Diceros bicornis minor: one gene and its partners. The protein of the gene in region 3 interacts with the protein of the main gene of each other region in a biochemical or structural test. Links are inferred from orthologs where the notes say so. Each region holds a gene or a part of one and is shown on either strand. Other genes may lie near its edges. The genes, in order: PRDM2, EID1, RB1 and AHR.

Evidence for each region.
Region 1: the proteins of RB1 (region 3) and PRDM2 form a complex in vitro, tested with the Homo sapiens proteins (2 studies listed by BioGRID, with this or other methods). The link is inferred for Diceros bicornis minor from reciprocal best matches to the Homo sapiens genes RB1 and PRDM2.
Region 2: the proteins of RB1 (region 3) and EID1 form a complex in vitro, tested with the Homo sapiens proteins (5 studies listed by BioGRID). The link is inferred for Diceros bicornis minor from reciprocal best matches to the Homo sapiens genes RB1 and EID1.
Region 4: the proteins of RB1 (region 3) and AHR form a complex in vitro, tested with the Homo sapiens proteins (2 studies listed by BioGRID). The link is inferred for Diceros bicornis minor from reciprocal best matches to the Homo sapiens genes RB1 and AHR.

What each region holds. Positions count from the first base shown.
Region 1 is NC_080752.1:31,950,138-31,957,095, reverse strand, and holds the start of PRDM2 (PR domain zinc finger protein 2), read right to left. Parts: upstream 3,019-6,958; 5' UTR 3,003-3,018; intron 1-3,002. UniProt on the Homo sapiens protein: S-adenosyl-L-methionine-dependent histone methyltransferase that specifically methylates 'Lys-9' of histone H3. May function as a DNA-binding transcription factor.
Region 2 is NC_080744.1:45,426,612-45,433,237, reverse strand, and holds EID1 (EP300-interacting inhibitor of differentiation 1), read right to left. Parts: upstream 2,376-6,626; 5' UTR 2,135-2,375; coding exon 1,559-2,134; 3' UTR 508-1,558; downstream 1-507. UniProt on the Homo sapiens protein: Interacts with RB1 and EP300 and acts as a repressor of MYOD1 transactivation. Inhibits EP300 and CBP histone acetyltransferase activity.
Region 3 is NC_080748.1:28,794,685-28,801,957, reverse strand, and holds the start of RB1 (retinoblastoma-associated protein), read left to right. Parts: upstream 1-4,250; 5' UTR 4,251-4,485; coding exon 4,486-4,619; intron 4,620-7,273. UniProt on the Homo sapiens protein: Tumor suppressor that is a key regulator of the G1/S transition of the cell cycle. The hypophosphorylated form binds transcription regulators of the E2F family, preventing transcription of E2F-responsive genes.
Region 4 is NC_080742.1:43,514,359-43,522,360, reverse strand, and holds the start of AHR (aryl hydrocarbon receptor), read right to left. Parts: upstream 3,024-8,002; 5' UTR 2,431-3,023; coding exon 2,366-2,430; intron 1-2,365. UniProt on the Homo sapiens protein: Ligand-activated transcription factor that enables cells to adapt to changing conditions by sensing compounds from the environment, diet, microbiome and cellular metabolism, and which plays important roles in development, immunity and cancer.

The DNA of each region.
Region 1 (6,958 bases), on a different chromosome or scaffold from region 3:
TGGGGCGATTTTGCCCCCCAAGGGACATCTGCCAATGTCTGGAGACTTTATCATTTGTCCTGACTCGGGGGAGGTGCTACTGGCATCCCAGGGGCAGAGGCCCAGCATGCTGCTACAATGTCCTACAATGTACGGGACAGCCTCCACAACAAAGAATTACCCAGCCCCAAACGTCAATACTGCTGAGGTTAAGAAACCTTGCTTTAATGGAACCCAGGCATTGCCTTCATTAATGGAATCCACAGCTTTCAGTCACTCTACAAAGATGATTTTTATGGCTCTAATACTTCTAACTTCAAAAGGAGAGCGCCAGAACACTACCCCATACGTCTAACCAAACGCTCTGAAGGGTGACAGCATAGCTGATGGACACCGCACAGCACTGGACACACGTCAGCAGTATCAGCAGTAATGACTGTCAGGTAATGTCCCCACCAGCTGGAAACTCCCTGTAGCTACACATCGCCACCCAAGTCTGACAATTTCCCCCTACTGTCCACCTACTCCCTTTTCACTCCCCACTACGGAGTTTTCTAGCGACAGCCCACAGGTTTTTTTTTTTTTCTGCATGAGTATTAAAAATAGCATGAAAAGCAAATCAGAAGAGATGAAAATAGTAAATAACCTAAGGTACTTTCCATTCCAGAAAATCTATGATTTAACAGGACTTAAAAGGTTTGTAAATCAGATCTTGAACTTGAAAAGATAGCAGCTTAAAGAAACAGTCCCATGAATAAATATCTAACATAAAATAATCATCAAAAGAATATGTGTGCAGATATATGTATGTAACTGCACAGACCCGACTGAGGGAGAAGAGAATAAAAGGGAGCTGAAATTGAATGCTGCTTCTTATAACTGTATTGGCAGGAAAAATGCATATTTAGAGACAAAAACAGAATTTACATTTTCACACATCTTAAACGATTATAGAACTTTAAAATTCACGGTAGAAAAACCTTTTAAGTAAGTCTTAATAAAAAGGAAATCTCAGGCTATAGAAGCCTTACTGAACAATATGGAATTGATAAATTATGGCCTGTCCATATATCACATAAGCATTAAAAATCATAATGAAGAATATTTAACATAGATATAGGCTCACAACATTGCAAAGGAAGGCAGATTACAAAAAATATATACAGTATGATACCAATTCTGCATAAAATGTAAATATATAGAAGAGAATAAATACATATAAGTAAAGAAATACACACACGCACACCGAGAGAGATGAAAAGGTCTGCCAAAATGTTAACAGTGGTTATCTGAGGAGTGGGAAAGTTATGGCTGATTTCTATTCCTTCTTTGTGCTTTTCCCTATTTTCAAATTGTTCTACAGTGAGAATCTTGCTATGTTTTGCACAGTGCTTACAAAATGAATACATTATTACAAATTTAGGACGTACTGTTTCTGGAACTGTCCACAAAATGAGAAAAAAACAAATCTGAATATGCCAACTTTTCAATCCAAGACATCACCTTCAGAAACAACAAAAGCCACCTTTATTGAGCATTACTATTATGTGCCTGGCAGCTTATTCTAAGCCCTTCAAATGTACTAACTTATTTAAATCAAACCAAAAAGGATGCACAGAAAAAGCCCTGGCAGCCCAGGAGCTGTGAACAAGTGTTGGTCCCACTACGGATTTCAATCTCGGTTTCCATACCTTGAAACGAGGGGGCTTAAATAAAACGATCTTTCAAGGTCCCCTCGCGGCTACGCTGAGATTCCACACGCAAAAGAACGTGGTCAAATAAGTGTTCGTAAGGAAGCTTCTAGAGAATGGGGGGGCAGCTGCATGGCATCTCAAAAACAAAACCCCACTAAAAAAGAACATACGATTATGTGTTTCAGTTCCTCCTTAATATTTGTATAGCAAATTTCATAACGTTAAAAAATTTAAAAAGGCCGACATTTTTCCAGTACTTGGATGCAACTGATCAAACCAACATGAAGTCTGGCGTTGCGGCTAAGAGAATCACTGAGAGGTTCCGTTTGTTGTTCAACGTTGTGGGTGCTTTCGACAATAAACCTGCAGTTAACAAACACTTGAAGAAATATTTTAGTCGCCTTCTGGGTACGACCCTTTGAGTGTCTGTTTAAAGGGATCTGAGGACCTAGCGGGATTCACTGAAAGGCGTTCCACTTCTGAAATAAAACCAAAACCTCAACACGACCGTGAACGGAAGAAAACGGGGGGCCAGCATGTCTCCTCCCGGGGGAAATCACAGCTGCGTCGTGAGGGGGATCTGGGCTGCCTGGTTCAACGTGGGGTTGTTCCCGCAGCTCGCGGCCCGACAGACGGCGGCCGGTCGTGGCTCCCGGTCCCCGCGTGGGTCGGCGGTTTGGGAACAACGCTGACCCGTTAGGTCTACTTCACGTCTCACTTGCCACCGTCAGAAATAGGTCCGTGGACACGGTCAGTGACAAAATCAATATTATATGAGCGCACGTCTGTTAAAACAAAGACACCGGTGGGTCTGCGATGGGAATAGTGGGGGGGCAATGTCCAGGTTTAAGCCACACAGAAACTATTTAGGCGACACAAAGACGCAAGACACGAAACAAATGAAGACCGCAGGTGTGCAAGACGTTCGGCTGGAACACAAAAGAGGAAAGCAAACGGCTGGAAATCGCGACGGCCCCGGCGCCGCGCGCGCCCGGCTGTGGGGGACGCCGCGCCCCGGGGGGCCCCGCCCCGCCCGCCCGCAGCCCACACGCGTCCCCCGCGCGGGGCGCGCGGCAGCCCAACGGCGACAAAGCCGGCCCCGCAACTTCGCCGCGCGGGGGGCTCGGGCGCCGGAGGGAGGGCCCCCGGGCCGCGCCTCGTTCCGGGGCCCCCGCCGGCCGGGACGCCGGGACCTCGCAGGGGGCGCGTCCGCCGGCCCGCCCGGGTCCCCGGCGTGCGGCCGCCGCTCGCTCCTGGCGGGCAGGGACGGGCGTCCCGGCGCCCAGCCCGCCGCCGTCCCGGAAGCCGCCCGCCCCGGCCGCCTCTTACCTGCGCCCGCCGCGCCCCGCGCCTCAGAGCGCCCAGAGCCTCCGCCCGCGCCGCCGCCGCCGCTCCGCCCGCCCCGGCGCCCGCGGCCGCGCCGCCGCCATCTTGGCTCCGGTCGGAAGTGACGTCGGGCGGCGCCGGCCGCGGCCTCCCGAGCCCGCGCCGCCCGCGCCGTCGCCCAGCGCCGCCCGCGCCCCCGAGACCGCCGGCCCCGCGGGCTCCGACGCCCGGCCGCACACGCCCCCACGACCCCGGGCCGCCCTGGACCGACCCCGGTTCTCGCAGGCCCGACGACCGCGGGCCGCACTGGCCCCGACGCCTGGCCGCCGGAATGACTCGCGCTGTCGGACGGGCCTCGCAGGGACCCCGCGGACCCCACGCGCGGCGCCGCTGAAAGAAAAGCACAGCGGCCAGCGCGCCTCCCGCATCCAGTCTGCCCGCACCAGGGGGCTGCGATTCTGCGCTTTTGCGAGTTTCTACAAGAATCCACAGCCTTTAATAAAAGGCGGAGGAGGAAGGAAAGGGGTTCACCACTAAGTCCCTGCAAATGAATAAACATAGACCCCATTCTTCGCTCTTCTCGAAAAGACCCGTCTTGCCTCACCCAAAAAGATGAAACTCCAAGCAGATGCAGCTGGGTTCATTTGCTCCTTCGTGACACATGAGTAGTTACGGCCTGCCTGCCTGGTGCCCAGCACAGTCTTAGGCGCTGCAGCCACGGCACAGAACGTGACATGGGCCCTGTCCTGATGGAACTTATTATTTAAGAAAGAAGAAACACATAGACGGCCGGGGAGACGACGACAAGTAAATGCTCTCATGGAGAGGACCTGGGTTGAACTGGAGATGTCTAGTAGCCGTCCAAGGAGAGATGGATGGCCAGTTGGAAAGGAGTCTGGAGCTGAGGAAGAGATGCGTGCTGGAGACAAGATAGACAGGTGAGAGTTGCCGCATATGGATGGTATTTAAAGCCATGACCTCTTCAAGATAAAGCCCTGAGAATGGAATCAGGAAGAATCTAAATGGAATGGTGACATTAGGCCTCTGTGGAAAGGACCCACCCTAAAGAATAGACACCAAGTTAGATGCAGATGTGCTTTGGGAATTTTTGAAGGAGCACACAAGCCCATTTATGTAACTATGGTTTAATATTAAGAAAACATGATGTATCAATATATATCATGTTATAATCTTATTGTAAAGGGATGGTGCTGTAGTTAATGACCTAGTCAGATATTGTGAACAAATGAAGATAACCTCATCAGAGTAAATTTTATCCAGGCCTTAAAAAGTGACAGGGTCAGCACAGAGCCTAAGAAAAAAAGAAATCAAACCTCAAGAGTTGGATTATTTCTTCCACTATTCAAGGGAAAGAGATCTGGGAGATACTTGCATGCATGTCACTAAAATAGTGTACGGTGCTGTGGGTCAGAGCAGACATCAGACTTTTCCATCCCTTACCTAGATCGATGCTTCCCAATGTGATCCATGCATCAAAGTCATCTGGAGTATCTCCAAAAAAAGTCGGGGAAGCTCCATCATTTCATCCTCAGTCAAAACACTGACATACTAAACAAAAATTTAAAAGAAAAGCTATATGCCCTGTGGCATTCAATAGAATGTGAAGGAATGTTAAATTAGAAGTGATACAGTGAACCGGAACGTACACTAGATAGCATCATACCAAGAGATGGCTGACAGTAATCAGTGGTTGTTCTCCCTGTCATTAGTCTAAAATGACTTGGTGTATTAGTTTCCTGTGGCTCTTGTAACAAATTACTGCAAAGTGAGTGGTTTAAAACACCAGAAATGTATTCTGTCACAGTTCTGGAGGCCAGAGCCCGAAGTCAGTATCACTGGGCCAAAATCAAGGCATCAGCAGGGCCACACTCCTTCTCAAGGCTCTAGGGGAGAATCGTTCCTTGCCTTTTTCAGCTTCTTGTGGCTGCCAGCATTCCTAGGCTTGTGGCCACATCAGTCTTCAAGGTCAGCATCTTTAAATCTCTCTCTGTTCCATCTTCACATCACCTTCTCTCTGTGTGGTCAAATTTCCCTCTGCCTTCCTCTTATAAGGATACATGTAATTGCATTTAGGACCCACCCACATAATCCAGGATAATCTCCCCAACTCTAGACCCTTCACTTAATCACATCTGCCAAGACCTCTTTCCATATGGAGATTAGGACATGGACGTATCTTTGGGGACCGTTATTTAGGCTGCCACACTGGGTATATCCTCAGCACTGCTAAATTACCCCCTTAATCAGCCATCGTGTATTTTTCATCTTCGTATTTTTCTTGGACATGTTTATGTTTTTCAACCTGTGCCACTTCTCAGGATAAATGTATATGTTTTATCAATTTAATCCAAAAAAGATACAAATCATTGAGAATACAATGTAATTTCATGAGTATTTATTATCTGTCTGATATGCCAACTATTACTCTGTTGCCTCTTTGAAAAGGTGATGTATTTTGCTAAAGGGTGAGGGAAGGAATTTGAGACATTTCATCACATCTCATGGGCCATTTCTATATTAGGGGATGGAGGTATAAAATGCACTCTTTGTCTAGAGCTACAGCATGGATGAAACTCCGCTCTACACAGGTACATCTAGTACAGGTCCTGGCTGGTTTCGTACCTTGACATGCAATTCCATTACAGAGGACAATAATCGTCATTCACCACAGCATCCCAGTACCCAGAATGGTGTCTGGCACATAGCAAACACTAGATAGATATTTTTAGTGGGAAAAAAGTCTTCTCCCTGGCTCTTCTGATGTGGCTGGATTAGAGCAAATATGTGTGGGCCAAAGACACTGTGCATTTAAAAGACAACATATGATTATGTTAGGAACCACAGGACTGCTGCGCAGCATGGCAGCCAGGAGACCTACAGCATTGCTCCTAAAAAGATGAAAGATTTTACCGCCAAGATTAAAGAATTCACAACCCATCACCAATGGGAATGTAAGTGGGCTTAGAATTCCCCGAATGATAACAGTACTTATTCTCCGCTGGCTTCTAGTCTAGGTGTTTCACAAGGACCATCTGGTTCATCCTCATAGCAACCCCGCGTGATAAACACTATCCTCATTTTGTAGCTGCGGAGACTGAGGCCAGGAAAGGTTAAAGAACTTGCCTAGTTGGTGACAGAACCAGGTTTTGAACCTAGACAATGTAGCTTCCTAGTAAGCTACAGGCTTAACAAGTAAACTATGCTACATACACAGGCACCCACACACATACATGGAAAAGCCTGAGAGCTGGTACAGGCAACTCTCCCATTACATGCTCTCAACTACTAAGTCATTCCTCGACTGAGATACTTGGGGTAGGAATTGGGAAGTATTTTTTTTTTTATATCTGTGTAAAGAGACTACTCTAAATACTCTCCTTGGACTGTCAGACAAGAGCATCCATGGTCAGGGGAAAGGGGATCGAGTGTCTAAGGGCAACTGCATCAAATGAACTCGTATTTTGCTCAAATAACACATCACTTACTTTTTTTAAATCCTGAGTCCCCTTTCCTCGTGACTGCAAATCGTTTTCAATGAGATCCAGAGTCTCTTTTCCTGGTTTCTTCACCTCACTTTTCCCCCTCCCTATCCCTCCGCCACATGGTTTACCCAAGCAAGAAATGACATGTGAGCAAGCATACCAGCAACCAAAAGATTTGGAACTTGGATTTGGGGTTCTGATTAGAGATGAAGAAATGAAGTTCAAAGATAGAAATTCTGGGGGCTAAAGATACATCTTATTGCATAATGGACACTTTTGGCTGTGTAATTTCAGTGCAAAAACTTCTGCAGCCTCCAAATGTACAGAGGAATCATAGCAGTGGTGAGATTTAACGGTGAGAAGGGGAAAGGAGGTAACCTTTATTGAGCGCCAGTTTACACCGACACTTTTATGTTACCTTCTCATGTAATCCTTACAACAGCAACAACAGCAGCT
Region 2 (6,626 bases), on a different chromosome or scaffold from region 3:
ACCAAGCTAGTGTTTGATTATGATCATCCTTGTCATTTCTGTATTTTACAGAAAAGAAACTCTCTCCCTACAAGACAGGATGACCGTTAACATAAATAAGGCTGAGCTGTCTTGTTGTATTGGATGTGGCCTTTACTACCATAACGAAGCAGGCACATCTGATACCTTTTGATTAATCATGATAAGACCCACTGATATACTCAGTTTTATTGGGCACAGCCCTCTGACATGATTCCTCTTCTCACAGAACTTCAGCATCTTAAAAAAATAACTACGGCAACATGCTCATTGATAGGGCAGGCTTTCCCAGGTTGGTAAATTCTCTTACAGGAATTCATTAAGTTTAATTTCCACAAATTAATCTACAGTAGGTATTTGAAGCTCGAGCACTTTCCCTTATAAAGTGGTTAAATTTATATCATAAAGTGGTTGCAATACAATAAAATAGTATAATCCAATATAAAGCATTAGAGAAAGTATGTATGCAATGTTATTAGCCAAACAAAATACACAGAACAAGAAATTTTATTATCTTGAATGCTGGTGCATAACCAATAACAAGCTTATTTAGAGGAGGAGACAGAGGGAAACTTCAAATACTGAGGTGGATTTCCAGTCAGGTTTAAAACTTTTAAAGGTTGACAGCATAATTGTTCAGGTCTTTTTTAGATGTAGGGCTTTTCTTTTACTTGACAATTTTCACTTAACAGTTCTTAATTATGAAGTTCAACCCAAGTCTTTTGCCTGTACAGTTAAATGAAAAACAGAGAGCAAGTAAAACAGAAAATTTCTCTAGTATAGAAGGGTGTTAGAAATAGTTTGTTTTCTTTGTACTTGCACATACATTTTAAAGTCTAAATCTGAAACTTTATTAACATCTTAATTTTTGACTTTTAAAAATGGTTAAGACAATGAATTTTCTTGAATTATAGATCATAGTAGCTTTATAAATGATCGAGATATATGTACAAACAAAATTTCAGATGTTCTTGGAAACACATTTTAAGATATAGCACACGTGATACATATTTCTTTTTGGGATACTGAAGAATACTCAATTTATCTTCCACTAAAAATTTAGCCTTTGATAATTGTGGCTTGGACAGATCACAAAGTGGAATCTTCAAAGTTTTCTCAATAGGCTTTCAGTCCAAATAACTCAAACTCATCTTGTGTCCTACGTTGGATATATCAGTGGGCTCTTGTGCTGGCAGTTTGTCTTGGTCATGACTTATTCTTGCAAAACCATCCCTTACAGTGAAATATGAAAGATATTTTCCCCAATGCAAGGAAAATACTCTGGATCAGCAACAAAGTCAAAGCCATAGGTGTTTTTCAGGACATTCTTGAAAACAGGTTTTAACAGTCCTAAGATTCTTCAACAATTTTCTTCCTTTTTCGCAACTGTACAGTCACTGTCCTATTCTATTCTGCAAAACAAGACTTTTTTTGAAGATCAAGTTTTTCATTGGCATGGAACTATCTGGAATGAACCCAAGAGACAGTGGAATGTTGGGTCTCTCCTCAAGTAGCTTCCTCCTCTTTTAACAGCATTTAACTACTCTCTATCGATAATCTCATCACAGCCGAGTTCTTCGGTCAGACGATTGACAACCATAAGTGAAAAAAGCTCTTCGATAAAAGCCAACTGATCAAACGGGGTCTTCTCATAATGCATCTGAAACCCGCCATCCAGGGCTGCTTCTCTTGCTCTGGATGTTCTCAGAAACATCTTGTTGGCTTCTTCGAGGGCCGCAGATACTCTGTAACCTGCACCGCTCAGCTGCTCCTCTTCCGGATAGTCGTAGTCGTCCTCCCAGTCGTCAAATTCCTCGCCCTCGTCCTCGCTCTCGAAGTCGGGGCCCGCGACCTGGCCCGGCTGCTCCCCGGGGCTGGGCCGGTTAGCAAGGCCGCGCTCCCCCTCCGGCCCCGCCATTGGCTGGGCCGCCTCCTCCTCCATCGGGCCTTCCTCCTCGAGCTGCGGCGGGGCCCCGGGGCGGGCGGGGTTCGGGGACGGCTCCCGGCTCCCGCCGCCTACCTCCATCTGCGGAAGGTCACCCTCGCCAGGCATCACATCCATCTGCAGGTCATTGCTCTCTTCATACAGCTCGGACAGCTCGTTCATTTCCGACATCGTACCAGCAGCTCAACCTCTCGCACAGCGTTTTCAGCAAGATCGGAGCTACGCGGCCGCGCGGCTGTGCGCGTGCGCTAACGCCGTGCGCTTGCGTAACCTCGTGCGTCTGCGCGACCCCCGCTTGGGGGATCCCGCCTCCCGCTTGGCGCCCTGATCTGGCGGGAGCTGGTGGCTGCTCTGCAGGGGGCGTCAGCGTGGCTCGGTGGTCTGGGTATCCCTTGTGTCGAACGTCATGCCTAGAGACTGTAAATACTAGCCCGTTGCTTAGTCTCCGCCTCACTTAACCGTTCTGCTGATGCTGTAAACTTGAAGATACTCTACACAGCCTTTGTAACGACGCTTACCCAGCGTCTTCCTGCTCCTCCCCCCTTCCTCCCCCCGCCCTCCTCCTCTTCCCCCCGCTCCAGGCAATCGCATCTGCTCCAAGGTTTTCACTACCTGTTATCTATCTAGGAGCTAATGACTTACAAATCCACACCTCCAAATCACACAGTGTTCTCAACCACAGATCGACATGTTAAGAACTGATCCATTCACCTCTTCTATTTTCCTCATTAAAAAAAAGTTAAATTCACACATAAGCATATTATCCGTGTACGTTTTAAAGAAAATTATAGTGAAGAGATACGGGGTCCCATTTCTTTTTGCAGGAGGTAACTTTCTGCTGTTACCGATTTGGTGTGTATTCTTCAAATCCTGTTTCTTTGCATTTACATAGATTTTTATGAATTCGTGTAAAAAGCTTATTTTGTGTGTGTGTGTTTTTACGTCTCATAACTGTCTTCAAGTTACAAAACAAAAACCCCTCAGCAATATCTTGAAGATTTAGCTTTGTTGGTATACAAAGATATATATTTTTTCATAGCGTTCCATTTGTATAGCTGTGGCATAGTTGACCTAACTATGCACAAATAGTTTTCAATTTTTTGATACTATAAACTATAGGTAAATGAACATCCACCAATGTTTCTCTAGACTAAATACCCAAAAGTGGAAAGGTGGAATCGTAGGGTATGCATACTTTAGTTTTAATAAATACTGTCAAATTGCTCTCCAAAGTTGCTGTACAAATTTAAGCTCTAGTCAGCGGTGTCTGAGAAGATCCATACCCTTGCCACACATGCTTTTGTTGAACTTTAACAAATTTATCAACTTAATGGTATCTTGTTTTGTTTTCCATAGCCTCGATTTCTTGGAGATTGATTATCTTTCAATATGTTTATCAAACATTTGTATTACTTATTCTGAAAATTATTGGTCTTATTTGAGTTTCTTCTTATTGATTTGTAGGAATCCTCATAAACTCTTTATATGAATACTTTTTACATGTTGCAAATATATTCTGCCTGCCTGTTGTTTGTCCTGTTTCAAAGGGTCTTTTCTTATACAAAAGTTTTAAAATGAGTTTTGATGTAATAAAATTTAAGGTTTTTTTTTCTGTATGTCTTTTTCTTTCTGTTAAGATGGATTTTTCCTGCCTCAGAGATCACAAGCATAATCTTTTATTTTCTAATGTTTTTGTAGATCTTTGTTTCTGTCTTTGTAGATCTATATTCTATCTTTGTCTTCTAATATATTTTTAGATCTTTATGAATCAAACATTTATTTATATAAGTAGTATGAGGACAGAATTTGTTTGGCCAACCCGTGGCGTAGAAGTTAAATGCGTGTGCTCTGCTGGTTTCGGATTCCGGGCGCACACCCACAAACCCCTTGTCAGGCCATGCTGTGGCGGTGTCCCACATAAAGTGGAGGAAGATCGGGTGGGATGTTAGCTCAGGGCCAGTCTTCCTCAGCAAAATAAAAGAGGAGGATTGGCATGGATGTTAGCTCAGGGCTGATCTTCCTCACACACACACACACAAAAGACAGAATTTGTTTATATATTTTTTCCATATATATAGCTAATTCAGCCAACTCCACTAATTTAATCATTTGTCTTTTTGTCTGCTGTTTGGTGCCACACTTATCATAGACTAAAAGTCCATGAATATGTGAGTCTGTTTTTATTATTTATTTATTTTTTATAATTTTATTTATTTTTTTCCCCCAAAGCCCCAGTATATAGTTGTATGTCATAGCTACACATCCTTCTAGTTGCTGTATGTGGGACACGGCCTCAGCATGGGTGGAGAAGCGGTGCGTCGGTGCGCACCCGGGATCCAAACCCGGGTCGCCAGCAGCGGAGCGCATGCACTTAACCGCTAAGCCACGGGGCCAGCCCTGAGTCTGTTTTCAGACTTTGTATTCTAATGAATTTCTGTAGTTTTAGAATATGCTTGATGATAAGGAAAATCTCGTCTCTTTGTTCTTTAAAAAATTGTCTTAGCTCTTCTTAGACATTTATTTTTCCATGTGAATTTTATTTTATTTTTTAATTTTATTTATATATTTTTTCCCCCAAAGCCCCAGTAGATAGTTGTATGTCATAGTTGCACATCCTTCTAGTTGCTATATGTGGGACGCGGCCTCAGCATGGCCAGAGAAGCAGTGCATCTGCGCGCGCCTGGGATCCGAACCCCGGCTGCCAGCAGCGGAGCGCGCGCACTTAACCGCTAAGCCACGGGGCCGGCCCTCATATGAATTTTAGAAACAACTTGAATATGTCTTTATATGTCATGCTATCTGATAAGGAAAAATCTTGTCCCTTTTTTCTTTAAAAAATGGCTTTATCTCTTTTTGCACATTTATTCTCCCATGTGAATTTTAGAAGCAGCATGAAAAGTTCCCTGAGTGACATTGGTGGAATTTTTGTTGGAATTGCACAGAATTTATAGATTAACTTGGGGGAGAATTGACATCTTTACAATATTGTCTTCTCATCCATGAAGGTGATACATATCTTTTTACTTGTTCAAGTCTTAATTATATCCTTGAGTGAAGTTTTCCAAAAAGCCTTACACAATTTTTATTAGTTTTACATGTAGGTGCTCTTATAAAATGTATCTTCCCCACCCACCCCCTGAATACAGTCTCTGTTGGCTTTTGCTGATATGTGCAAATGACATTGATCTTTGTATATTGATTTTGCTTTTAGTAATTATTTTGAACTGAAATATGAATTTAGAAAACATAAATATAGAAAAGTGCACAAATCATAAGTGTACAGCTTGATTATCGCAAAATTAACGTATTTGTTTAACCACTACGCAGATCAAGAAACACCATTTGCAGGATCCCGGAAAACCACCTGTGGTCTCTTCCTTTGCCCCAGAAGTCACCACTATTCTGACTTCAAACAGAATAAAATAATTTAAACCATGCAGTATAATTCTTCGTGTCTGGCTTCTTTTGCCCAAGATATATGTTGTTGTGTGTGGTAGTCCATGAGTTGAATATCACAATGGTCATCATTGGGATTGTTTCCAGTTGGGGCTATTATGAACAAGGCAGCGATTATCTTTCTTTAGAATATCTTTTGGTGCACATATTTACAGGATTCTGTTGGACATACATCTAAGAGTAGAATTGCTTGGTCCTCTTATATAAGCAGCTGTAGTAGATTCTGAAGACAGGATTAGCTAATAGGTGCACAGTTGGGGTTTTAATGAAACTTCAAAACAGTATGACAAATACATCTCTGCAAACGGGCCGTTACACTGGGGCTTCCAAATAGAATCTCAGGTAAAAAAGACAATCTTCTTGGCTAGCTAATGCAGTTCTCTTGGATAGTCTTACTTCGTACTGAAAGTCTTACTGTTAGTGCCTTAGTCAGGATACTTTTTTTTTTTTAAACATTTTTTTTCTTTCTTTCTTTTTTTTTGTGAGGAAGATCAGCTCTGAGCTAATATCCATGCCAATCCTCCTCTTTTTGCTGAGGAAGACTGGCCCTGGGCTAACATCTGTGGCTATCTTCCTCCACTTTATAAGGGACTCAGCCACAGCATGACCTGACAAGTGGTGCATCGGTGCATGCCCGGGTTCTGAACCCAGGTCGCCAGCAGCGGAGCGCACGCACTTAACCGCTACGCCATGAGGCCAGCCCAGTCAGGAGACTTTTGGTGGTGAATCACTGAAACCCAATTCAAACTAACTTATATAAACATAAATAAAATTTAAAAATACATAAAAAGATAAAGGAAGGGGGTAAATGTATTGGTTGAAGTGATGAAACAAATGTTACCACTAGACTTTTTCCCGTTTTTAACTCTCAGTTCTGATTTTCTCCAGAGAGAAAACTTCCTTTTCCTGCAGGCTTTTCCCTCATGGCAGCACAAGATGGCTCCCAGAAGCTTTGGGTGTACACAGTCCTTAATGGCGGAGAGAGATGCATTCTCTCTTATTATCCACCTCAGTTCCAACCCAAAGACATTGATTGGCTTTGCTGTATCCAGAGGGATGGTGTTTTCTGATTGGCAAGGCCTGGATCGTGTATCCACCTGCAAGGAGAATGGCAGTGAAAGCGACATGTCAAACCCACCTGAACCTCCTGGTCTAAATGAGATTATTATAGAATGTGGTGGAGTGGCTTCCAAAGGGATGCTAAGCA
Region 3 (7,273 bases):
GTGTGAATTGGTGGCATGGAGAGAAGGCCAGTATGGCAGGAGAACAGTATAAAGAGAGGAAGACACAACATTCATGGCGAGGGGAAGGAGGGAGCCTGTTGTTGGAGGGATGACAGGATACATGAGTGCAGCAGCAGGGACTCTTTTTTTCATGCTCTTCACTTTTTTCCCTCTAAACTAATCATTACTTCTGAATAATTCAGGTAAACTGAGCAACTCTTTATTTCTTGAAACCTGAAAGAATCTAAGAACACACACATATGGGAGGAGATTTAACTCATGGGAATGAAAAAGAGCAAGAAGAGAGGAGAGGTGAAGATCTTCTAGGCCAGTGCTATCTCACACTATCTGTGAAGGAACTTTCTTTTCTTTTTAATTTCCAATATTTCATGAATTGATATGTTTGAAAATATTTTGAAAATAACATTTTAAAAATTACTAGGAAAATGAAAGCAAAGGGACGCAAAATACAAGCTCACATTTTTTAGTATTTTAAATAGTCATAAAATTACATTTCAAAAAATTAGAATTAAAAAAAATAGGATAAAAGAAAAAAACTACAAAAACTACACTTCGTTCACTGAAAGTGTACATGTAGGTGATTAATAGAAAATTGCTAATACACCCCTAATTTTTTGTCATTCCACAGTCATAACAACTAAATAAAAAGTTGGTAGTGAAGTAGCAATTTCCTATATTAAATGCTATAATAAACAATATTTAATATTTTAAGTTTTTCATTATTTAAAGTTTTTAACATTGACAAATGAGTGTGGTTCTTGTTAAATTATCTAATCTAGGTTGGATTGGTGACAATGTCACTAGCAGGATATAATGTATATCCAAACTGTTTCTATGTTTTATTTTAATAACATTCATATCGAGAAATCAGTCTCCAAAGGTATGTGTAAGGGGATGGAAGAAGAGATTTTAAAGCAATTTCAACAAGCTCAGGATATTCATTTTTAAATTCTACCCAAAATGAAGCAAGAGATGTTTTATTTTCAAAATTCATCTTCAATTCTTCATCAGTAGCCAGTTCCAAAAATTAGTCCTATAAAGTTAGAGTTACATTTAAATTATCTTTCAAAGATATGGATTCTGGATCCATGAATTCCCTATGTGTGGAGTTTATTTTCAATTCAAAATGTTTTATCAAATTCATAATTAGTTTATGTTTTATATGTAAATGCCACTGAAGTTTGATGGCTTTATTGCTTCATTAGTCAGTACCTGGTTTTAGCACTTCACTGTGAGTTATGGCTATGAACTCAGTAGATGGGGGATTATACTCGAGTAAAATCAGTACAAACTCTTAGATCTTGAATTCTTTGGAATCACTTCTCTGATGATTTGTTTACTACTTTATTATTACTAACACACTGCTGACGTGTCTTTTCTTGACAAAACAGGACAGTGAGGTTTGTTTTGCCATCTATAATTTAAGGTTAAGAACAAATGACAAATTTTTCTTCCCTAATTTAGCTACAAATTCCAAAAAACAGGCTTGATTAAAAATTAAAATGACTGTAAAAATAGCAAGTTATAAAAGTAAATAAATATTTACATTTTCAGATTTTTATTCACTTTTGGGTTACAGTTGACAAACTAACCTTAGAATTTCACTCCTTATAATGTGGTCCTACTGCACATGACAAAGACACAGCCATGCCACCTGCAACTCACCACACAAGTTGGAGAACACTTGAACTGTTCTATATTTTGTTAATGAGAGGTGTCCTATAATCATGTGCTTGGATATTGATGAAATGTCAAATTGCTATAAATGCTGCTAAGCACTTTTAATTTCTATAGTTATCTCCTCATGGACTACACACAAGCAGTTTGGAGGCTGGTACTGGTCCAAGGACCACATCTTGAGTAGTGCTGTCCTAGGGAACCTGCATTGAAGAGACTGGGAGAAGAAGAAGAACTAGTGGAGGAGTTTATGAAGTAACAGAAGGGAGGAGGAAAACAAGACCATAGATTTGTGGAAGACTAGGGCAGTTTTAAGAAAGAGGAAGGGGTTATTAACTGTGTTAACTGCAAGAAAGGTCAAGTAGATTGAGGACCAAAAAGAAGCTACTGAACTGACAATTAGGACATTGGTGACCTTTGAAAGAGTGATTTCAGTGGAGTGTTTGTGGTAGTAGTAGAAGAGAGCCAGGCATTAGTAGGCTGAGGGTTTGAGGAAGTAGATGGAACAAATAGGGCTACCCTTTCAAGAAGCTAGATGGTAAAGAAATGGAAACTGTGTGGTAGTTTAGGAGTGCAAAACAAGACTTTTTAGGCTAGGGGAGACTCAAAAAAAAATTTTGATATCACTGAAGGAGACTCAAGCTGAAGAGAGTTCTATCTCCAGATAGAAAATCTAAGAAAGATTTTTCTTTTTTGGTCTCACAGCCATCTTCTTAAATCTACTATGGAGGTGGGGGAGGATCAGGGGAAATTTCTATTAAGAATCTGCAGAATTTCTAATACTTTGGTATTACAACAGAAAGCTGTGAGGGGATGTAAGGATTTTGATTGACTCTATTGCTCCTGTAAGGATTTTAAATGTAGCAGGGGACACAGTTAAATTAATCCTTGGTAAAGATACACATCCTTTTGTAAATTGAGAAATGTCTTCGATTTATCTTAATTGTGGTAAATCCAAATGTTGATAAACTGAGTTTAAATAAAGCAGGTCATATCTACATATGAAGAGAGTTTACTTAGGTTCTCAGAACTGTCCTCCACTCTCCTGGCCTCCCCACCTTTAGCGAACAAGCATTTACCGTGTGCCCAACCCTTTGCTAGCTACTAAGGCCAAAACCATGCCTAAGATTTGGTCTCAGTCTTGAAAGGGCTCATAGGAGAAATACTATCAGTCGTGATGCTTTCTAGTGCAAACAACTGAAAACTTGCTCAGCTGAGGTCAGCTCTAGGGTTGGTGAAGTTAGAGGTTCAGTTATGTTATCGAGGACCCAGAATTTTTTGATATTCCTACTGTACCATCTTTAGCATTTCTGCCTTATCTTCAGGTCAGCTTGCCTTAAGTCACAATGGCTGCGGCAATTGCAAGCGTCACATCCTCATGATAATAGCTAAGTGGTAGAAAAACTGTGTCATCCTCGTATCTCATTTTAGCAGGCCTTCAGCAGACTATTTTTGATCTTGCAAAGACCAAAATTGCATCCTGAGCTCCTGCCTACACTAATCCCAGGCAAAGCGAATAGGAACTTGGATGGTATTTGCTCTCTCTAGCTGGGGCTGGGCATGGACCCTACCTTCTGACAAACTTCTGGCCCTCAAAAGAGGGTTTCTGAAGTTAGGCAGCACTAGCTGTGGAGTAGGCCAACGACTGCTAACCCTTTTTACATCCTGCTATATGTCATGGTATACATAGAGAATGATAATCAATTGTATGGTGTTTTCTTTAACGACATAGTGTAATGGATAAGAACCTCGGTTCAAATCCTCTGCCACCCATCAGCTCTGTAATATTGGGCAAATTAATTACCTCCTCTGAGCCTGTTTCCCCATCTGGAAAGTGGAATACTACTACTACTCATTTTAAAGGGTTGTTGCTGGGATTAAGGGAGATAATCATGTAAAACAGCCAGCACAATCCCTGGTACATAGTAAGCCCTCCTGAAATGTTAAGTCTGCCAGGCAAACTTCCATTCAACTGTCGCTGCTCTTTTGAGGTCTCAGACAATTCGACGGTGCCTCCTGTTTTTGCATCACTGTTAAAATATTTATCACACTATAATCTGTTCTTTACCCACAGCCCCTACTCCTCCCTTCCCTAACTAGTGATCTCTAAAAGGTCAGTAATTGTCCTACACTTTGTAGCTCCTAGTGATTGGCAAAGTTCAGCTCCTTTTACGCGTTCCACAAATGTTTGTTTTTGTTTTGGCCGACTGCTTAACGGATTGGGCGGGAGAGTGTGGTGGGGAGGGCGGGCGCCGCCCACGGGGGAGAGGGGCGTGCCCGCCGAGGGTGTAGCCGCCTGATATTCCCGGCAGGGCCTGAGCGGGAGCCGCTGCTCAACCCACAAACAGAGGGGGCCAGGCTCACCCACCAGACTGTGTAACGCTCCGTGACCGGCACCCAGGCCCGGAAGGGAGACTTTCGGGTAGAGACAGGTTCAGGCGGCGGCGGCGGCCTCGAGGAAGGCGGCTCGGCCCAGGCCGGGGCTCTGCGCCCAGCCCTCCCGAACCCGCACCCCCGCCCCGCGCACCGCCCGGCGCCCCGGTTCCCTCCCGACGCCGGCGGGCCCGGGAGCCTCGCGGACGTGACGCCGCGGGCGGAAGTGACGTTTTCCCGCGGTTGGACGCGGCGCTCGGTTGCCGGGCGGGGGAGGGCTCGTCCGGTTTTTCTCAGGGGACGTTCAAATTTTTGTAACGGGAGTCGGAGAGGACGGGGCGTGCCCGACGTGCGCGCGGCCTCCCTCCCGGGCCCACCTCCACCGCTCGCCGGCTCCTGCCCGGGCAGGGCGTCATGCCGCCCAAAACCCCCCGGAGAGCAGCCGCCGCCGCGGCCGCCGCCGAACCCCCGGCGCCGCCGCCGCCCCCGCCCCCCCCGGAGGAGGACCCCGAGCAGGACAGCGGCTCCGAGGACCTGCCTCTGGCCAGGTGAGCGAGCATCGCCGCGGCGGCCGCCGGCGCGCGAGATGGGCGCTCCGAGGGTGCGTCGAGGCGGGCGCCGCGGCGTCTCGGCGGGGGCGCGTCTTCTCCGGGTCCGGGTACCGGCGGGAGGAGGGTGCCCGCTTGTCCCCCGCCGCTGTGGAGCGCCTGGAGGAGGATGACAGGCGTCTGGGTGCGGGAGCGAGGGGAGGGCAGCCGGGAGGGGTCTCGGCTCCAGCTTGACAGGTGTCGGGCGGGTGGGGCTCGGGTCTCTGAGCGAAGTGACAGGTGCCGCCTTTCCTCAGCGAGTCGGGAGGCTCGCAGGCGGCGGGTAGTTTCGAGGCCCCATCAAACGCAAAGAGAAAAACAAAAACGAACTGGTGTCTGGCGGACAGTTTTTCTCCGGTCGAGATTTGTAGTTCGCCGGTGGTCGTTGGACTTTCTGTTTTGGTTTCCTGCGATGCGGCAGTGGGAAGTGTTTTTCTCCGGGCGCGCACTGCATCTGAAGCCCGGTCCTGGGAGAGGCCAACCAGGAAAGCCTGCGACGCTGCTGCAGAGACGCCTTGGGATGTGAAGTGTAGGGTGCTGGGTGTCACTTGCCCCCAGGGTACTCGACTGAGGTGCTATGTAGGATTTCCTTATAACAGTGCTTTGAGGCCTTGGGCTTCAGAGCCATCGATAGTGCCTGGTGGAACATAATTCTTTAGAGGAGCTCGTGTATGGGCAAAAGTTTTTTGAAACGTTAGTGTAAGTGCTTAAAAGTTTCTAAACGTTTTCTTTTTTCCCTGTTATATAAAATTCTTGCATGTTAATCTGCTGCAGCATGTCTCATTATTTCTTCCATTTTGCCTTTAGGCTTTGAGCCAGCAAGGATCCTGGTGTCCCCTCTTTTGTTCGTTTGTTTGGGTACAAAATTAGTGGTGTTCGTGTGCTCACATGGAACTATTTTTTTCCTAAGTGGAATCTAAATTTAAGCAAGTCCGTGATAATGCAGTAGAACATGACAGGGAGCCATTTATTGTATTGCAACATCTTATTTTTCTTGATTGTGATTCTTTATGGTTAAGAAGCTAAGATTGAGAGAGTGTAATTGTCATTATTGTTGTCAGCACTGGTCCTACTTTGAGACTACGCGTCCATTGCAGGGAATGAGCCTCCTTTCTGTCCCTCACCACTCCCTCCTCCCTTCTAGTCCATCACCAAGTCCTATTTCTTTCAACTCCCCAGACACTAACAGAGGTCAGGGGAATTGTAAAAGGTTGGAATGGGCTTTTGGAATTGGCCTGTGAAAGGCTATTAAAAATTCATATATTTAAATGAACTGTCTTACTGGTCAATTAAAAATCATGCTCACTAGTAAAAAAAAAAGTCTGAGGATGTTCTGGGAGAAGACATTACTTTAGTTTCTCATTAAACTGATGTATCCAATACTTGCAAGTTTCCCTTTGGAAAGAGCACTAATGTCTACTTTAAAGAATTCCATGTTATCCACATAGCTTTGGAAACATTCTCCATTATTGTAGGGTAACTAGAAGTTCTTGAAGTTCTGGCCGAGATCTGGGACTAGAAGAACTTTGTTTCTTTTATTTTTTCCCAACATATTATTTTGTATGCCTTTAAATGATGGAACTGTCAAAAATTCTCCTGTAAGTTAAATCCATACAAGATACAGTCTGCTGTTGATTATCCAGACCCACAAAAGGTTTCATTAGCATGGGCAATCGAACTCTGTAGATTAACTACTTAACAAGGGTAGAACCCTGGTCTGGTAATCTGAAACTGAGATTAGGGATGGATTCAGGGCCCAATTTAACTGCACTTCCAGTAACAGTTCATTTCTACCTTGAGAGTTGAGATCGTACTTCTGTTGCATTATCTCTGGCCTAAGTGATGTAGTTGGAAGGGAAACCATCACTAGAAACAGCACCCCACCTTCATTGTTGAGATAATCAAAAGTTAATTATATTTTGAGGGAGAGTTGGCAGTCTGGAATAGTTGTCAAGGGCGTGGATTATGGAGTTAGACTGTTGGGTTTATATCAAGGTTTTCCACCTACTAGCCATGACCTCAGGTGAGTGCTTAAACTTCTATGATTTGGTACTTATCTATAAAACAGGTTAATAAGAGTACTTACCTAGTAGGACTGATGTGAAGGTTCAGTGAAACCATGCTTCTAAGGTGCTTGGTAACGGGGTCATAGTAAGTACTCAAAAATTATTAGCTTTTTCTCTTATTATGATTATTCTTAGAAGTCAACTAGGTATTAAATGAATGAAAAGGAATTAGCCTACAAGTATTTATTAATTGCCTATCTTAGTTAAGGAAGATCGAGGAGAAAAGGCTGAAATAAGTGTAGCAATAATTTATGTCAAGTTGATCATCATGTGAGAAGTGCTAGTAGGTAGAGAGTTTATATGAAACATTGATAAGTGTAGACTGCATTTTAGCAAAGTCACTGATACTGAATTGATTCTGTAATATTATGTATGGGCTCTCCTATTTTTGCTGTTATTATTGTCCCAATTTTCCCAAACAGCTTTAGCTACTGTACTTATTTCCTTTGCCAAGCTGTTTTGCTGCTCTGAAGTATATGTGATTCACCAGACCAGCAAACATCTTTCACTCTGTGGTATCCTTATTTTGGAAAGACTATGAAAAAGAAA
Region 4 (8,002 bases), on a different chromosome or scaffold from region 3:
ACTTGATTCCAAAATTTTATGGAATTATATATTTAAATGGCCATTTTATTAACAGTTCTATAATTATACTACAATATATCTTCTCTTTAAGTAAAATAAAATGGCTATCACTTAAGAGGTCAAAGTTAACCACATCTGAATAGCATTTTCAGCTCAAACAAGATGTATTTTTCTGACAACGTTGGCATATTTTAGACCCCATTAGCTCCAAGGTAGTAATTTAAAAAATTCATATTAAACTTAATATTGAGTTTAATGGTCACATTCCTAAAATAAACTTTGATTAACTGCATTATAAAGTTAACCATTTTTCATCCAGGTAAAAACAACTGATAAACAATTTCAAGTGATTCTGCAAATAGCAGCAATAGGCGTTCCTTATGGAGCAGGGCAGTGATATTTTAAGGCATTTACATGATTAGAAGCAATGCATGGCGCTCAGTAAAGATCTGATAAACATCTATACTAACTGAATAAAATAAAATGAGAGTAAACATGGAAAATGCTTTAGTTGTAGTACAAGAGATTATTAAATACAAACTATTAAAGTCTTAGAAAGTATATTAAAATGTTAAGATAAAATAATAAAAGGTACATCTTATATAAATAAAAGAAAATGTAATATGTTTAAAGGGAAGATCTTTAATGAAATGTTAACTAGGAGCCAAAAATGTTAAACTTTATAATGAATACAAAATTAAAGTATTTGATTTTTCTTAAAAAAGTCATCTAGGTCCTTTTGTAACACACTGACTAAAACTCAGTAACTTAAAAATCCATCAAAGAGATATTCAAGTTTTATGACCATACACATAAAAACCCATGATACCTCTTTATATTTATGCTACTGTATTAGTAATTACACAGGACATGCATTTGGAACGCCTCTCAATTTTAATAACCATCAAGGTTAAAGTCAGATTAGACAAACACATTTTTATATAAGAAACCACTCTACAAAATGCAAGTATTGTAAACCAGTGTCACAGAATTAGACAAATACATTTTTATGTAAGAAACCACTCTACGAAATACAAGTATGGTAAACCAATGTCACAGAACAGGCAAGACAGAAAATTGCTGACTCGGCAGTATTCCTAATGTTAGCCACACTGCAGGATAAGACTTCCAAATTTTAATCAGTCTATTTATAGACGAATATCCTCTGTTAATGCCAAGTCTAGATCTGAAGAACTATGATCATTGAAATTCTAAATGGAAATTAAAACTCCAGAATAATGAAACTTTTAAACCAAGTTACTGGTTTTAAATATAAATCTTAAACTCTTATTTTTCCGGTTTGGATTAGTGACCTAAGTTAAGTTTTAACCAAAATGCACACTTCTGATTTGCTCTGAGTAAAGCTTTAAGGTGTTCTTAAAATTGTTTATGAAAATTTGAAAAATGTGAAATAAAGTGTCTCAGAGATAATTAGGAATAAACACATGAATAAAGCCAATTAAAAGTAAATCTGTCTCAAGCATAGATTTTTTTTTCTGAAAAAAAATTATTTTAAAGTATTTGTCATCTCACATAAATAGCCCACCAAAACAAACAGAAAATCTAAGTTTGTAACCATTCTATTAGAATCGACAAAACTTTGCAGTGGGGGAAAAGGAAATTAGAGAAAGATGTTAAGAATGAAAACGTCTGTTTCAGTAATTCCAGTTCCAAATCTTTTTCTTTACGACCCTAAAACCATCCCCAAAGTGATAAGAAAGCTCCTCCAAAAGGTGGCTGAAAACACAAATCCCTCACTGTATCCTGTCCACTACACTCACTCATACCTGCTACCACCTCTATACATTTTACCGATATGGTCACGTTGAGCGCTACAAAATTACTGTCAAATAAGAGCCCAACAGAAGCCAGGTGCACCGGACCAAAAAATACCCTCAGAGGCACTCAGCCACTTTCTTGCAGACAGCACGTGTTTAGATCTTTAAAACATCTCGCCCTACCAGGAATGAGAATTATGACCGTCCTCTAACCTAACCGATGAGGATATTAAAAGTGGAAAGGGATTTCAAGGCGGATTTAGGTTAACTAATCCACCAGCCCCACACAGCAGACCAGAGCTGTCAACAAATTAGGACCACGGAAGAGAGAACAGAGCTGCAAAGGGGTGGAGGTGCGAGAGGGTGCGCTGGGGACACGGGGCACAATTTTTAAAATGCAATAATTAAAAAAGGAAAATCCAAGGCCTGAGTCTTTCGACCGGCCTCCAAATCTCGATTCCACGGACTGTGTCAGGAATGGACCTAATCCCGGGACCGCGGGGATTTGGGGGCGGGGTGCGGCCACCTCCCGCACCCGCGTGCCACAGCGCACACCCCCGCGCCGAGGACGCGCTCCGGACACTCACGTTTTCTGCACTGGCTTCCGCCGCTTGCGACTGGCGTAGGTGATGTTGGCGCTGCTGCTGTTCATGGTGCCGGCGGCGGCTCCTCCCCGGCTCGGACGGCCCACTCCCCGGGAGCCAGCGGCGACCTGGACGACGGCGGCAGCGGGCGCGGGGTTCCACGAAGCCGCTCCCGCTGCTCCACCTGCGTCCTCCCCGGACGGCAGCGAGGACGCCGCGTCCTCGCTCCTCGGCACCCGCAGCCCCGCGCGTCCAGGTGCGCCGCCCGGGCCTGGCGCCGGGGGGCGGGGGCGGAGACCGGCGCGCGAGGTGGCGCAGGTGTCCTCTACACCGGCGGAGGCGGCGCGGCGCTGGCCGCAGGTGAGGCGGCCCGGGCGGAGGAGGAGGCTGGGCTGCCTGTTTGGAATCCCGGCCTGGGTCGCGCGCGGTGGCGCCGCGCCCCGTGACCGTCGCCGCGGCCCCTCGGGTAAGGGAGGCGCCGCCGCGCTGCTCCTGGGGCTTCCCAGATCCTGGGTGCTTCCCGCCCGCGGAGCTCGGACTCCGACCGCCACTCCGGTGCCACCAGCTTCCGCTCTGCTACGCAGCTGCCCTAGGTCTGAGCCGCTGGTCCTGGGCACGCTCCCGGGACGGAACGTCGAGTGCACCCGCCAGGGGCTGCCTCCCGCCGCCGCGCGCACCGGCTGAATAGCAGAAGCGCCCCCAACCCGTCTCCGGCCCCGCCCAGCCCCTCGTGGCCCCGCCCCGTCCTACTTGGCCCCGCCCTTCCATTCCATCTTCCTTGAGGGCCCCACCTTCCCTGTACGTGATGACGTAAGGCGTAACGACGCCCCCCAGTAGCCATCTTCTTGAGGTCGAGGGGTGGAATTCTGTGGCCAGATTTGCAGCCCAGAAAGAGGTGTGACAACAAATTGCGTATTGTAGCCGAACTCTTTGTAGCTAGACTATCTCAAGGATAGACATGCCAAATAGTGAGCTTAACTTCACCTATATGAGAGACAGTGACTCAGCTAACCTTTGGCGAAGGATTGCAGTGAGCTGGTGGATAACCAGTGGAACTCTAAATTTTCCTAGAGGGAAAGGCTTCAGGAGGCCACATCTGAGTTAAAACATGAAGGCTAGGAGTTTCCTTGGCTTTTTGTGTGTGTGTGTGTGTCTCCATCCTAAACAATATAACATCTTTTCCTTAGCCAGAATAACTTTGTTATTCTGTAGTCAGATTTCAATAAAGTTGAAAGGAAGGAAACGAGGAAGAAGGGAAGCACAAGGCATTTGGGGATAATAAGCAGTCTGCTATGGTTGGACAGAGGAGCTGGAGGCGAAGTTCCGAAATTCTAGGCTCAAACCATAAAGCCTTGATAAAGAGTCTGGATTTTATTCTGTAGGCATTGGAAGCCTTTTAAAGATAGCAGAAAAGTGACATTCTGGTGTCTTGGAAAAGTCCCTCTGGGAGGAAAGTGCAAACTGGAATACGGGAGATGGATGCAGAGACCGTACTTAGGTCGTTGTACTATTTCATTACGGTTGAAATAGTCCGGGTGTAAGTCCGGGGAAGTGGCAGTGGGGATGGAGAGAAGAAAGAAAATTCAGATGATGATAGAAAAGGATAAGAAAATAGGGGAAGAGAAAGAGCAGTCTCAAACGGCTCTAGGATTTCTGACTCTTTCTGTGCTGTTAACCAGGATAGTAAACACAGAGGAGTCTGCTTGTCAGGAGCAGAAGGGCATCCAGATTAAGATACCTAGATGACATCTCACACCATATCCATTCCTACGTTTTAAAATGTCTTCAAGCTGTTTCCACCTGGTAAATTTGTTACCTCAACTTCAGTGCATCAATACATTAAGCTCGTCATATGCTTTAGCTGAAACTTTGTCATTGGCTCCGCCGTTCTCCAGATCAACCTATGAATCATGTTCAACTCGCCTACCACTTATATGTAAATATTCCGGCAAATACTATTAAATTTTGTTCTTTACAATATCCCTAATTCATTTCCCTCAACTTTATTCTTCAATAATAGCAGACAGTGCCTAGCTCAAATGCCATACCATGTAGGATTCCTAAGCTAATATTATCCCCTCCACACATTAATTCAATCAAAAAAGATTTGGGGGTGACTCCTATGTGCCAGGAATTATGCTAGTACTGGGGAGACAATGGTGAACACAAACAGAAATGTCCTATGCTCTCAGGAAATACTGTAATGGAGAAGTACACAACTCAGTATGATCTTCTAGTGGATAAATTGACCTACTCATTGAGGCAAATATGGGCTTTCCCCCCAAAATGTTGATTGAGCTGAGGTCTGAAGGATAAAGTAGGGTTAGCTGGGAGAAAGCAGGGGAAGACCATTCCAACTCAATGAAACAGTACAAGCAACGTCCCTTTAGTGGGAAGGAGCCTGGTAGGTATGAGGGACTAAAACAAGTTCAGTATGAGCAGAGGAGAAGGGCACAAATGATCAAATTTGCGTTTCAAAAATATCACCATATCTGCAGGGTATAGAACAGATCAAAGAGGCAGGAACAGAGCGGAATGGATGGAAGTAATACTCCTCAGGAAACCATCTGCAGTAATCCAGCCAAGAGATGACATTATTGACACTAGGATGGATGTGATGGTGGAGATGGAGAAAATTAATAGATTCCATAGATATTGGGAAAGTCTTGGGAGATAGAGTGGATATATGACAGTGAGGGAAGAGGATGTGTCAAAAACATCATAATAGTGTTCTCAACTATGTATCTGGCTATGTGATAATGGCACGTACTGGTGGGAAATTATTAATTTAGCTTTGGATCTCTTAGGGTTGAAGTACCTTTGAGATAGCTAAGAGAAGATGTCAGGTAGGCCATAGGATATACATGTTTGTAACTCAAAGAAGATGTATGAACTGGAGATATAAATTCAGAAATCATTTGCATTTAGGTGACATGAGAGAGTGGAGGTTGTAGGGTGCAAATATATACCAGAGAAAGACTGGGACCCAGAGAATTTCAATATGTAGTATCCAATAGCTGAATAGAAGATGATGGTCCTGTAAAACTGAATGAAAAAGAGTTGCTCGAATGGTAACAGGAAAGTGAGGGCACTATTGTGTCGTAGAGGACAAAGTGGAAAAATGTTGGGAGTGGTTCACATTATTGAGTGTTGTTGAGAGTTTCAAATATGATGAGAATTGAAAATGTCTTTTGGCTTCTCAACACGAGGTCATTGGTGACTTTAGTGAACACTATATTAGTGGGCTAGTGGATTGCAAGTCAGATTGAAGTGGATGCAGAATTGAATTGGAGATGAAGAAATGACATCAGCAAGCGCAGACAATTCTTTTTTTTTTAAAGTTTGGCTGTGAAAGGGAGAGACCTAGAATGGTAGCTAGGGGGAGTAAAGTGTTAAATTAGGGTTTGTTGTTTTTAATGGATGATACTTAAGCAGTTGAGAAAGAGAGGAGACGGATTGAGATTGGCTGTGTAAGAAAGACAAAGAATAGTAAGGGAACAATAGATATTAAAAATGGTAAAGGCAAGAGAGAACGAGGGCCAAAAAAGAAAAGGGGAATTAGGATTATAGCAGATTAGATAATACCAGACAGAGTTTATGTAGTGCTTTACTGTTCACAGTGTCCTTAGCTTCTCATGAGAGTTATAGGAAATGCAGAACCTCTGGGTGTCCTTACTGAGTCAGAATCTGAATTTAACAAGATCTCCCAGTTGATTCAAATGTACGTGAAGTTTGAGGAGCACTACTCTACAGAAGCTAGAGGAAAAGAGGATGGTGGGTAAGATGTAGTGGGCTGGTAATTTTGAATCAGAAAGATGAAGGAGATGTGATGAAGAGAGTATTCTAGCATGACCTACAAAGGAGCAGGTGTGTTTTGTGGTTGATGGGTTTTGTTTTATTTTAATTTTACAAGACTATAAAGTGAAAGTGATGCAGGAAGTGGCAACAGAGAACTAGGTGATGAGGAAAAATAATTAGGAACCATTTTGGAGATGACACCCTCAGGGAGAGCCAGCTTTCAGTTTAAGGCAAAAGATGGAGCAAAGAAGACAGTGCATACAGGAGAGTTTGCTGTGGATGGATTAGCAGTTCTGGGGGCACAGAGTCAACCAACTCTATCTTATCTTCTCTTTTATTTCCTCATCTCTGTATTATTATTCATAGCTGTTCTATCTAAAATGTATAGTGTAAACAAGTAATTTCCTTCTAGCATAGGAACTTTAAGGGTGAAAAATGCATATCAAAACATAATTTATTGATTCTGTAGTTTAAAGCTCCTTTTCAGAAAAAGGATATACTAAATGTACTAAATCCCAATAATCAATCTTAATTTAGTGTTTTTTAAAAATGTCCACCTTTTTAAGGTTGTTAGTTCTTTGGTACAATCATTCTCTGTCTTATTTTGTCCTACTTCCATACCTTTATTTTCTTTTTGACTTTAGGACCATTTTCATTATCCAGAAATCATATCATGCTATACTGTATTACAATCAGTTTAGTAACTGATCTTTGTATACCAAGATTGAAATAAGAGTATCAACAAGACTTTCAGAATTCATTTCATTTTAATAGTGACACCATCCACTGCCCTTAAAATTTTTGCTTAGTATGTCAATAAAATCAGTCTTTGTAGTATAATGCAATTAAAAAAAAAAAAAGAATGAGTTGCCACTTTTAGAAACTATCACTTCTACTTCTAATATCACCACTGTAGGACATGGTTCTCAAAGTATGTTTTGTTGCCATTGCTAAAATTTTTAAATTTTCCATGAGCCATTTTTATATAATAACGTGATTTTTTCTTATAACAATTGGTTTGCATATAAGAGTTTATTAATATTTGACTGCCTAATCCAAAGCACCATTATCCTTTTATTTAGTTTAGGTGAGATGACTTTCTGAGGTTTCAGATGCAGCTATATTTCTATGGGTTTCTTTTTCCTGCTAAATATTATGAGAAAAAGAAATAAGTTTTAGGAATGTTATTATACATAGCAGCTGTCTTAGAATAAAGGAAAATAACTAAAATAAATGCTAACCCTATTGTGTCACAGTACATGCCTTCATTCATTTCATTCAAGATTTTAGCTCCTATAATATGCCAGGCACTGTGAGACACTATGGTGATATCAGACATATCCCTAGCCTCTTAGAACTTACATTTTAATGAGAGATACAAGAATTAATCAAGTGGTTATACAAATAAATGTATAATTGCAGCTGTGGTAAGTGCTATGAAACGAGTAGTCTGAGAATGTGTAATAGGTGAGTTTGACTTAGGGGAGGTTGTGCTAAAGAAGTGAAGAAGCTTGAGCTGAATTCTGAGGCATGGGTAGGCATTTTGTAGGTAAAGTAGGGAAGGAAGTGCATACCATGCAGATAGAACATTTATCACAATTTTTACCTCCTCTTCAATCCTGCAGTTCTTTACCCCAGGCCTTCAGAATGATCTATTTCACTCAAACTCTGCTTCTACGACTTAGATCCCTCATTATAGTTATACCAAATATTTTAGAGAGCATAGCCTGTGCTTCACAAACTGTGTGCTGAGGCACCTCAAGGGCACCACAAAAAAACTCAAAGGGGCACCATCACGGGATATTTAAATTTTCAAGGCCAACACAGTGACATCAATTGGAC